Macaca mulatta: one gene and its partner. The protein of the gene in region 1 purifies or fractionates together with the protein of each later gene. This does not show direct contact. Links are inferred from orthologs where the notes say so. Each region holds a gene or a part of one and is shown on either strand. Other genes may lie near its edges.

Evidence for each region. Proteins that work in one complex are often made in the same cells at the same time.
Region 2: the proteins of SLC7A11 (region 1) and CD44 purify together in Homo sapiens (affinity purification with western blotting; 3 studies listed by BioGRID and IntAct, with this or other methods). This does not show direct contact. The link is inferred for Macaca mulatta from reciprocal best matches to the Homo sapiens genes SLC7A11 and CD44.

Annotation. Positions count from the first base shown.
Region 1 is NC_133410.1:147,081,191-147,085,609, reverse strand, and holds part of SLC7A11 (cystine/glutamate transporter), read left to right. Parts: intron 1-2,933; coding exon 2,934-3,033; intron 3,034-4,419. UniProt on the Homo sapiens protein: Heterodimer with SLC3A2, that functions as an antiporter by mediating the exchange of extracellular anionic L-cystine and intracellular L-glutamate across the cellular plasma membrane.
Region 2 is NC_133419.1:30,145,382-30,150,465, forward strand, and holds the start of CD44 (CD44 antigen), read right to left. Parts: upstream 3,303-5,084; 5' UTR 3,170-3,302; coding exon 3,103-3,169; intron 1-3,102. UniProt on the Homo sapiens protein: Cell-surface receptor that plays a role in cell-cell interactions, cell adhesion and migration, helping them to sense and respond to changes in the tissue microenvironment.

The sequences.
Region 1 (4,419 bases):
ATTTTGACCATTAGAGCTTGCTCTGAAGAGAAGACAGGAGCTTGCTCTTCTAATACACCTTGGCCTCCACAGAGCTAGCCTGCTCACTTCTATCTTATTCATTAGGAATGTAGGCACAATAATCTGTTTTGTTAGTGCTTTATTTTTCTGAGCTAACTCTTCAGTCTTCTGTAAGGAGTTTCTTCAGTATTTGAAAAGTGCAGAATCTCTGGGTCATTGGCTGTTCTTTAATACTAGTTTAGATTCCAAAAGATTATATGCTATCCCTTGAAACTAAGATATATTTTCTTTCTTTTTCTTTTTGGTGTAATGTAAGACACTGTAGGTAGCATTATAGACTATATTCCTTTTTTACTGGGTATTTATATATGTATATGAGGAAGGGTTTGGTTGCTCAAATGTTACTGTATTACAAACTCCTTGAGAGCAGAGGTCGTGATATATCTTGAGGTTTTTTTGGTGGCTACCATACAGAGATATTTTAATCAATAATTATGATATCAATGCTTAATGTGACAGGCTTATTCAGAGATCTCACTCAACAGAGAAATTCCCTGAGAATATTACCACATTTAATGTAAATGTTAACATTTAGAGACCATTGTTAGCAGGTATATTTGCTTGATTACTATAAAATTGTGATTTTCTTTCTCTCTCACATGATCACACATTTTTCACATTAATCTGAAACTCTAGTAAGAGACTTTGTTAATACAGATTGTGCTTTTATTTCTATTCTAATCATATCCTGAAAGTAGTTGTATGTAATGTATTCACTTATGAGGGTTTGTTGAACTTTCCTTTGAATATTGACTTTAATCTTCATGAGACCTCTGTTATATAGCCAAAATATTCCTGAATTCTAGAAACAAAATACCTCTCTTTTGTAATATTCTCAAAATGGCACTTTTGAAGATCTGTGCTTGTGACCCAGTCTTTATAGAATTTGGCTTTTCTTATTGATTATTTGGTGCTGTACTCTTAGAAATATTGTGCCTTTATGCCAAAGAGACCACAGATTATGATAAAAGAATATTCAACAGATGCTTTTCTCTTAATTCCACTACTTATATTTTTCTTCTGGAAGGACACAACGATGTCTTAGTAAAATGGGCATTTCTGAATTTATCGTATCATTTAAAAAGTGAGCTATGTTTGGGAATCATTTACTTTGACGGAAAAAATGTTTAGTATGTAACTCAACATTCTCCACTTTTGGTCTTCATACTCACACATATTATATTTATATATATGTTGTGGCTGGGCAATGAATGCAGGAAAAACTGAGATTTGACTTGGAAGAGAGAGTGCCTCATACACATCATCCATCTCCTGTCCCCCTTATGTTTATTTACATGAAGTTTTATTTTAAAACAAAGTCTCACTTTCTATTTGGATAATCTCATTTGATATTTTCTTTGGGTAGTAGAAACATTTTTTCCACTTAAGCTTGAATATTGACTGACTAAAGTGAATCTGAATTTCTGACTTTTAAAACTATTCAAAAGATATAAAAGAAAAAGTTCCATTGTGATTCACAAAATAGAGAAAAAAGTGATGAATAAAAGTGTTCAATTCACATGTTGCTGCAAAATTTATTGAAACCTATTTATTTTAGAATTCTTTATAATATTTTTTCAATATTTCTAGGAAAAAAACATGTCATTCTCTAGGACAGGGTCATAGGGTGAGTGCACTTTCTCTGTAAAGGAAAAGATAGTAAATATTTTCAATTTTTCAAGCTGTATGGTCTCAACTCTGCTATTATAGGCTGAAATCAGCCATAGGCAATACTTCATGAATGGGCAGTACTTCATGAATAGGCATTTTTAACTTATAGATAAAGAAAGCTTTATCTACAAGAAAGGCTTGTGGCTGGACGCGGTGACTCACGCCTCTAAACCTAGCACTTTGGGAGGCTGAGGCAGGCAGATCCGTAGGTCAGGAGTTCTAGACAAGCCTGACCAACATGGTGAAACCCCATCTCTACTAAAAATACAAAAATTAGTTGGGCATGGTGGCGCACGCCCATAATCCCAGCTACTCAGGAGGCTGAGGCTGGAGAATCGTTTGAACCCGAGAGGTGGAGGTTGCAGTGAGCCAAGATCGTGCCACTGCATTCCAGCCTGGGCCACAGAGTGAGACTCCATCCCCCCCGCCAAAAAAAAAAAAAAAAAGGCGGGGGGAAGGGGGGAAGGATGGCATTGGGAGTTATACCTGATGTAAATGACGAGTTGATGGGTACTGACGAGTTGATGGGTGCAGCACACCAACATGGCACATGTATACATATGTAACAAACCTGCACACTGTGAACATGTACCCTAGAACTTAAAGTATAATTAAAAAAGAAAAAGAAAAAAAGAAAAAAAAAAGGCTTGCAGTTTGGGTTGGCAGACATGGTCCAGGGTTTTCCAACTTCTGTTCTAGATGGTAGGCCTCTAATGGACAACGTGGGATAAACAGGAAGCAGAAAGGTAAATTGTGTAGGAAAGGAGTCCTGGGATTTATTTCCACCTCCTTATTAAGGGTAGAACCTTGGATACTTCTGCACATTTTTTTGCCAAGCAAAACATTATCTTCATTTTTAAGAATTCTATTGTATTCATAAAGATTATAATTTACAGAAAACCCTTTAGTCTTCTTTTATGGTCACAACAGAGGCATCCTCAAACAGAGGATTGTTTTTCAATGATATTTTCATCCTTGTTATACATTTATTAAAAGAGAAATGTGAAATAGTGTTAATGATCAATATACTTTTGGAACCCCTTCTGTAGAATGGGTACAGTATTGATAAAGATGGTAATCAACAGAGTGTAAGAAATCTAGACTTAAAATAGTATGGTTCTCCACACCCCCATGTTTCTGGTTAAGAATGAATAAGAACCAATTCTTTGAAAAATCCTAAAATCAGTCTATTCTAATTACAGGTCAAACACAGAACTTTAAAGACGCCTTTTCAGGAAGAGATTCAAGTATTACGCGGTTGCCACTGGCTTTTTATTATGGGATGTACGCATATGCTGGCTGGTAAGTCGATAGCTCCAGATCTGGTGGTTTATGTAGTTCATTAATCCCATTATGCACTCATATTAAGTGCCAACCAAGGTGCCAGGCAAATGTGAATAGGCATAATCCACATAATAGTAATAAGGTATTGTCCCCTCCACCAGGCCAATTACTTTGCACATGACAACTACAAACATAACAGGTTTCCAGTCAAGACTGCTAGATTTAGCCTGATGTCATAAAAAACAAACAAATGCTGGGTCTTAAGATCCAATAAAAATTACTTATAAGTATGTACCAGTAAGGACATAATAGTTCCGTAAGGTACTAGAGAATAATACTTCGCTTGTCAAAAGGCCTTTCAGCTAAAGCTCCAAGGGTATTTACAAATAGTGATTAATTGATTTCTTTTTTCCAGCTTCTCATGAGAGAAGTAACTCAGATGTAGAAATAAGTATGACATTCCCAGAAGGTAATGGTCATCTAAAGGCAGAGAAAGAGAAACCAAGATAATGCAGTCAACTCTGCTAGACAGTCTACATTTAAAAGGACCTTACATGTCCCTTAAAATTTCCCCAACATCTGAAAATTTAAAAAATAAAGATGATTAAAATCATGATGCCACAGATATATTTCCTTTGATGTATGTCCACCTGTGATACCTACCTTTCTAGTTAAGGCATTAAAACTTTGTACTTGTACCTTGTTTGTTCAGATACTTGAAAACCAGTAATCATGGATAAGAGTGGGACTTTTTCTTCAGTAAATTTTATTGACCTTGTAAGATTTAGTTTAGATGATGGTTGCAAGAAAACCTACACGGTATTATTTAATTATCAAAATCATTATAGTACGATTAAATTTCATTGTTTTGGGGTAAATCATGGCAATATTTATTTTTAAATTGTCTATAAATCTCATTGTTATACAGCTTTAGCTGTGAGAATGATGTAATATTAGGAAACTACACTAGCTCAAAAATTATATGAATGCATTTCCAACACAAATATAATTTCTTTTGTGTCTTTAGTTTTTAAGATCTTACCTTCTAGCCAATGCGCGGAACATAGATATATTTCAACATGAATGGAGTGTTTACCCTATTAATCTCATTGAATTATGAAAATATAGTATTAGAGGATAATTAGGGAGTATGGGAACTTAAAATCTTAACATGGCCTGTGAGGCAAAAATACGTTTGAAGATTGTTAGAAGATTATAGCTCTAAGGAGATCAGTGTAAAATATTTGTATATTCCCAGAATATTTTTATACCCATTATATGTAAGCATTAGTTTAGAATCACTCAATATTTTTGAAGTCTTTTTGCTTTTGTCCCAAGCACAATGTGGTGCTAGACATCAAAAGAACTGAGCGTGATCACAGGGTTAAAGCAGAATCAACTGTT
Region 2 (5,084 bases), on another chromosome or scaffold:
GGGAAAAAACAAATGGAACATTTTCCTTCTGGCTGCCAGCCTCCCACACACGGACTTGTCACCATGCCTTTGCAGGAAGTAGATGTCCAATGTGTGAATGGGGAATACCTCAATTAATCAATGCTAGCCCCAACAGAGATGAAGCTTTGCCTCTTTGCTTCTTCACATGGGAAAACACAGCCAAAGTTCTAACTCCCCGCAAGGGGCGGAGTCTCTAATGCTCAATTAGAGAGAAAAGAGCAGAAAGGTATGTGCCAACCCCAAGCCCCAGGACTCTCAGACGTTCACCTCTTTCTCAACACCAGGCATGCAATTCCCAAGCAAAGAGCCCCTCGCCCACAGAGAAAAGGAGATGCGTGTGAATGAAGGACTCATCCCTGCTGGCCTCCGCCAAGGGTCACTTTCTTCCTCCTACACAGGACCCCTAATTCAAGATATCTGTTCCCCAACTCAGAGTTTCTGGGTCCAATGTCACTTAACTACATTTGGCCATTTCTCCACTTTTTGCTTTCCCATACAAAGACTGGATCCCCTTCTCTTCCCGAAAGCCTTGCTCCTTTCCAAAGTTTCCTCTTGGTTGTCCAGAGTCCACCACTCCCCAGAATGGGGCAACAAGAGCTCCTTTCCTTCCCCCTTCCTCCTTCTCCCTCCCGCCACCCACCCCATGCCCAGCCCCAAGCCCTGTGACAAAGTCATGTCTCCTTTCCAAGTCTCAGTTCCTGCCAAACAACTTTACAAGCACATGAAAGTGAGGGCCGGGGCAGTTATTGCTACTGGCACTTCATTGTGCTTCCTCTAAATGATGCTGCACAAAGGGGCCGTGGAAACTCGGGGCAGGAGGGAGCCTGCCGGTCTCCGGGAGAACCTCAAGGGTTAGGACGTGCCAAATATTTGGAGGTGGGGCCCTTTAGAAGAATCAGGGAGACAAGTTGGAAGGAGTCAGGAGTCAGAAAGCCCAAAGACAAAGCAGAAGATGGCACTGGTAGGTAACATACAAATAAACTTCCCTAGAGGCCATAGGGAAACCACCAGGGCCCTCTTCTCTGAGGCCAGGCCCAGGGCTCTCCCTGATCTCCAACTTGACTCTTCTCTCCCATCCTGAGTGTTTCCACTTTTCAAGGGCTTATTTGAACTCCAGTCCCTTTTGGAACTTTCCCTAAGGCCTAGAGTCCACCAAAATCCTTTCCTCCTTGAATCCTTTCCAAGTTTGTCCATCTTATACAGTCTAACATATTATAAGCCTAGGCTTTGGAGCTCAGTGCAGCTGGGTTTCCATCCAGCACTGCTCCTGGCTATGTGAATGCCAGCAAGTCACTTAACCTCTCTAAGCATCAGTTTTCCTCCTGTCAAACAGGCCTGATAACAGGAAGCTTCTTACTAGGCCATTGTGAGGGGAGAATGAGATAACACATGGAAAGGATTTAACATAATGCCTGGCACAGTGAAAATATACAGTACATGGTAGCTAGTGCTGTATTGCTTTTTTTTTTTAACAGAGTCATGCTCTGTCACCCAGGCTGGCTCACTGCAACCTTAGCCTCCTGGGTTCAAGCAATTCTCCTGCCTCAGCGTCCCAAGGAGCTGGGACTACAGGTTTGTACCACCACACTGCTAATTTTTGTATTTTTTGTAAGATGGGGTTTCACCATGTTGGCCAAGGCTGGTCTCGAACTCCTGACCTCAGGAAATTTGCTGCCTCAGCCTCCCAAAGTCCCGGAATTAGAGGCATGAGCCACCATGACCGGCTGTGTTATTGCTGTCATTATTATTACTATTTCAGCTTCAGTAGTATAAATCCTAGATCCCCAAATCCCCACCTAGTAATGACCTCCTACTCACACAGAAAGGGAGATGCATGTGCACAAAGAACTCATCCTGCCTAGCCTCTACCTAGGGTCACTTTCTTCCTACTGCAGAAAGTAGGAAGATACAGAAAGCAGAAAGTAATTCAAGACAAGTTATACTGGGTACGCAATCTAAAGTAACCAGGTGGGACTGCGTTTCACTTTCTCAGTACCCCCGTGGAACTGGGTTAATAAATATTTGCTGAGTAGAATTTACTGCATGCAGGTTGAGCTGTCTTAATGACCCAGCTGGCACTTCTTAAGAGAAAAATTAATTTTGGCCAGCGATAAGCGAATTGGCTGTGTAATTATCTGTACATATATAGACAAAGAAAGAGAATGCTTGGAATTGAGCCGTGCTAGAATATACCTTACACGCAGCCCCTCCCCTTCATAGCACTGACCCTATTGGGATGAGATATTGGAGTCCTAGCCCCAGTGTCCCTGATGTCGCGCTGGTATCAAGGCTCTTCTCTCTGCTCTGAGGCTGCCAGGCAGGGAATATGAGCCACGTTACCGTTGAGATTTCCCCCACACTGATTGGCAGAAGCAGGAGGTAGCAAGGACCAAGCAGCTGGTGCAGTGGTTGCCTCTCCTATTCATGCTCCCTGTCCCAGGCTGGAATCTCATGGAGACCCAAGACTTCACCGCAGAGCTGGTTCAGGCTTCCACAGCGCTAAGGTGGCAGTGGCAGTGCGGACTGTAAGCTTTGGAACAATGCTCAGTGGGTAGTTGGGAGAACCCAGGACCCCTTTCTGGAAAACCCATTGCCAGCCAGTCTCACACTTGCAATTGTGACCCCTTCTGTGACCACCTTGGTAACCGCCATTCGCCCTTTTCTAGCCCCAGTTCCTGCCCCGCCTAGCTCTGCCCTGCCTAGACACAGCCCGGTGGGGCTTGACGAGCCCTTGGGCACAGGAGCCTGTTAGTCCAGACACTGACTGAGCGCATCCAGGAGAACGGTTACTTTCTGCCATGTGCTCTAGCTCTAGCGACCTCGCCCAAAACTGCGTGCCGGCAGCCTGCCCAACAAACTTTCTTCTCTTTCTCTTTTTCTTTCAACCAAACGGTGCTTCCACAGACACATTCTCCAACGGTTTAGCGCAATCCCAGCCCTGCTTTCCGGAGCCCAAAGCACTTCGCAGGCAACTCACTTGACTCCAGTCCCCCAGCGCCGACTCAGCCGGAGGGGCTACCTCCGGGTCCGCGCTGCGCACCCCGCACCCATCTTGCTGCCCAGGATGCGGCGGGCACTCACCGATCTGCGCCAGGCTCAGCTGCAAGAGGCAGAGTCCCCAGGCTGCGTGCCACCGAAACTTGTCCATGGTGTCCAGAGAGAACGGAGGGCGCGGGGGAAAGGGGCTGGAGGATCCCTGAGCGCGGGGCAGGGGCCGGTGGAGGACGGGACGAGGATGGCGGACCGAACCTGGCAGAGGCTGGGGTCCGCTGGGCAATGAGGCTGCCTCGGAAGTTGGCTGCAGTTTTTATTCGAGGTTTAAAGTGACCTAAGACGGAGGGAGGGAGCGAGCGAAGGACACACCCAAGCGAGGGGGGCTGTGACTAAGCAGCCGGCAGAGGTTTAAAGAAGTAGCAGCCCTCCTGGGCGGGCCCCTCTGCCTCCGCCCCGTGCTCTGCTGAGGTTGTAAATAATCGGGGCTTCCGTGGACGTGGGTCGGGGAACCTGGAGTGTCGCGGGGTGCTTGTGCCTCCGAACCCCACCGGCCCCTGCGACCCGGGACGCACTGGCTTTCTTCTCCCGCTGGCCCCGAGACGTCAGGACAGAGGATGACTGCATCATAAAAGCTTGCACCGTTGGGTTCAGCCTTTGGCCTCTCTTTTCCCGCTAAATTTCTCTTTGAATCCGACTGGAGAAAGATCTCTGGGTTACACAGGTAGTTGGATATCCTGGGAGAGGAGCTGGAGACAGGGCGAGGTCTTGCCCTGGGTGGCGCAGTGCCTCCATGCCCACAGTGGGGAGTGAGGGGTGGGGAGTTGGTGAATCTTCTAGGTGGAAAGAGGGAGAGCTCATTCTTTTCCCCCTCAAAAACAAGTGAAGTCCACATGGCTTGAATAAGTTTTTGCTTCTTGGCAGAACAGCTCAGGGAAAGCTACTGATGGCCGGTCATAGGGCTGGCATTTGGCTCGGCTAACCCATGTGTTCAAGCCAGTGGGTGTGGGCACCTCTCTCCACACACATGCTCACTCATCTTCCTAAATACCCTTCCATCCACCCATCCATCTATCCACCCATCTTTCCTTATGTCTTTCCGGGACTCTCGCATCCATGCATCTTCTTGTCCATCCACTAACCACTTAGGTCCATCCATCATCCCATTCATTCATTAATTCTTCCAGCCACACATCTTTTAATTTATTCATACACCTATTCTTCTATTCATCTTCCCATACAACTTCTCAATCATCATTCCACACTTCCTTTTTCACATCTCTTCATAAACCCACAACCATCCACCATCCTCTTCTCCACCCATCCACCCACATATCTGTTTATTGATATATCCACTCATTTCCCATCTGTCCATGATCAACATATCCACCTGTCATTTTATCCATTCTCTCATCCACCCATACATTCATCTGTTATTTTTTGCCCCCATTATCCTCCTTTCTGTATAAACATTAATTCATTTTCTCCCACCTCTTCTATCCAGCAGATCTTAAAGAGAGGAAGAGATTGTAATATTCTTCAGGGGAAGCCTTTTGAGATTGAAATATCATACTTTGAATGATAACTCTATATCTACCTATAATACACTATGGTTTAATGTTTGGAAATCAAACACAGTATTTATTTTTCATGTGAACTACTAAAAGTAAATCTGCAAGGACTTCTTGCCTGGTGAGTTGCACAGAAAATGAAAGTCATTATCAGTGGCTGTGGCAAGACTGAAGGAACCATGCCAGAACTTCTGAGGGAAGGTAAGATTTTGTTATTTATTTCAAGAAATTGAAAAGTTGAGAGAAATGCACCCAACTATCCACCTATGCATTCATTCGTCAAACATGTAATGAGTGTTGTGGGGTATCAAGGTAAACGAGACCTGGCGCTATCTCCAGGGCCTTCACCCTCTGGTAGGGAAACTAACTCACAAGCAGGCCTTTACCATGCAAGGTGAAATATGTTGCAAAATATGTGTGTTCAGGGTGCTACCGTTCCTAGAGAAGGGAGTCACACTGTCTCCTGGAGAACACCAGAAAGTCTTCACAGGGGAAGTGATA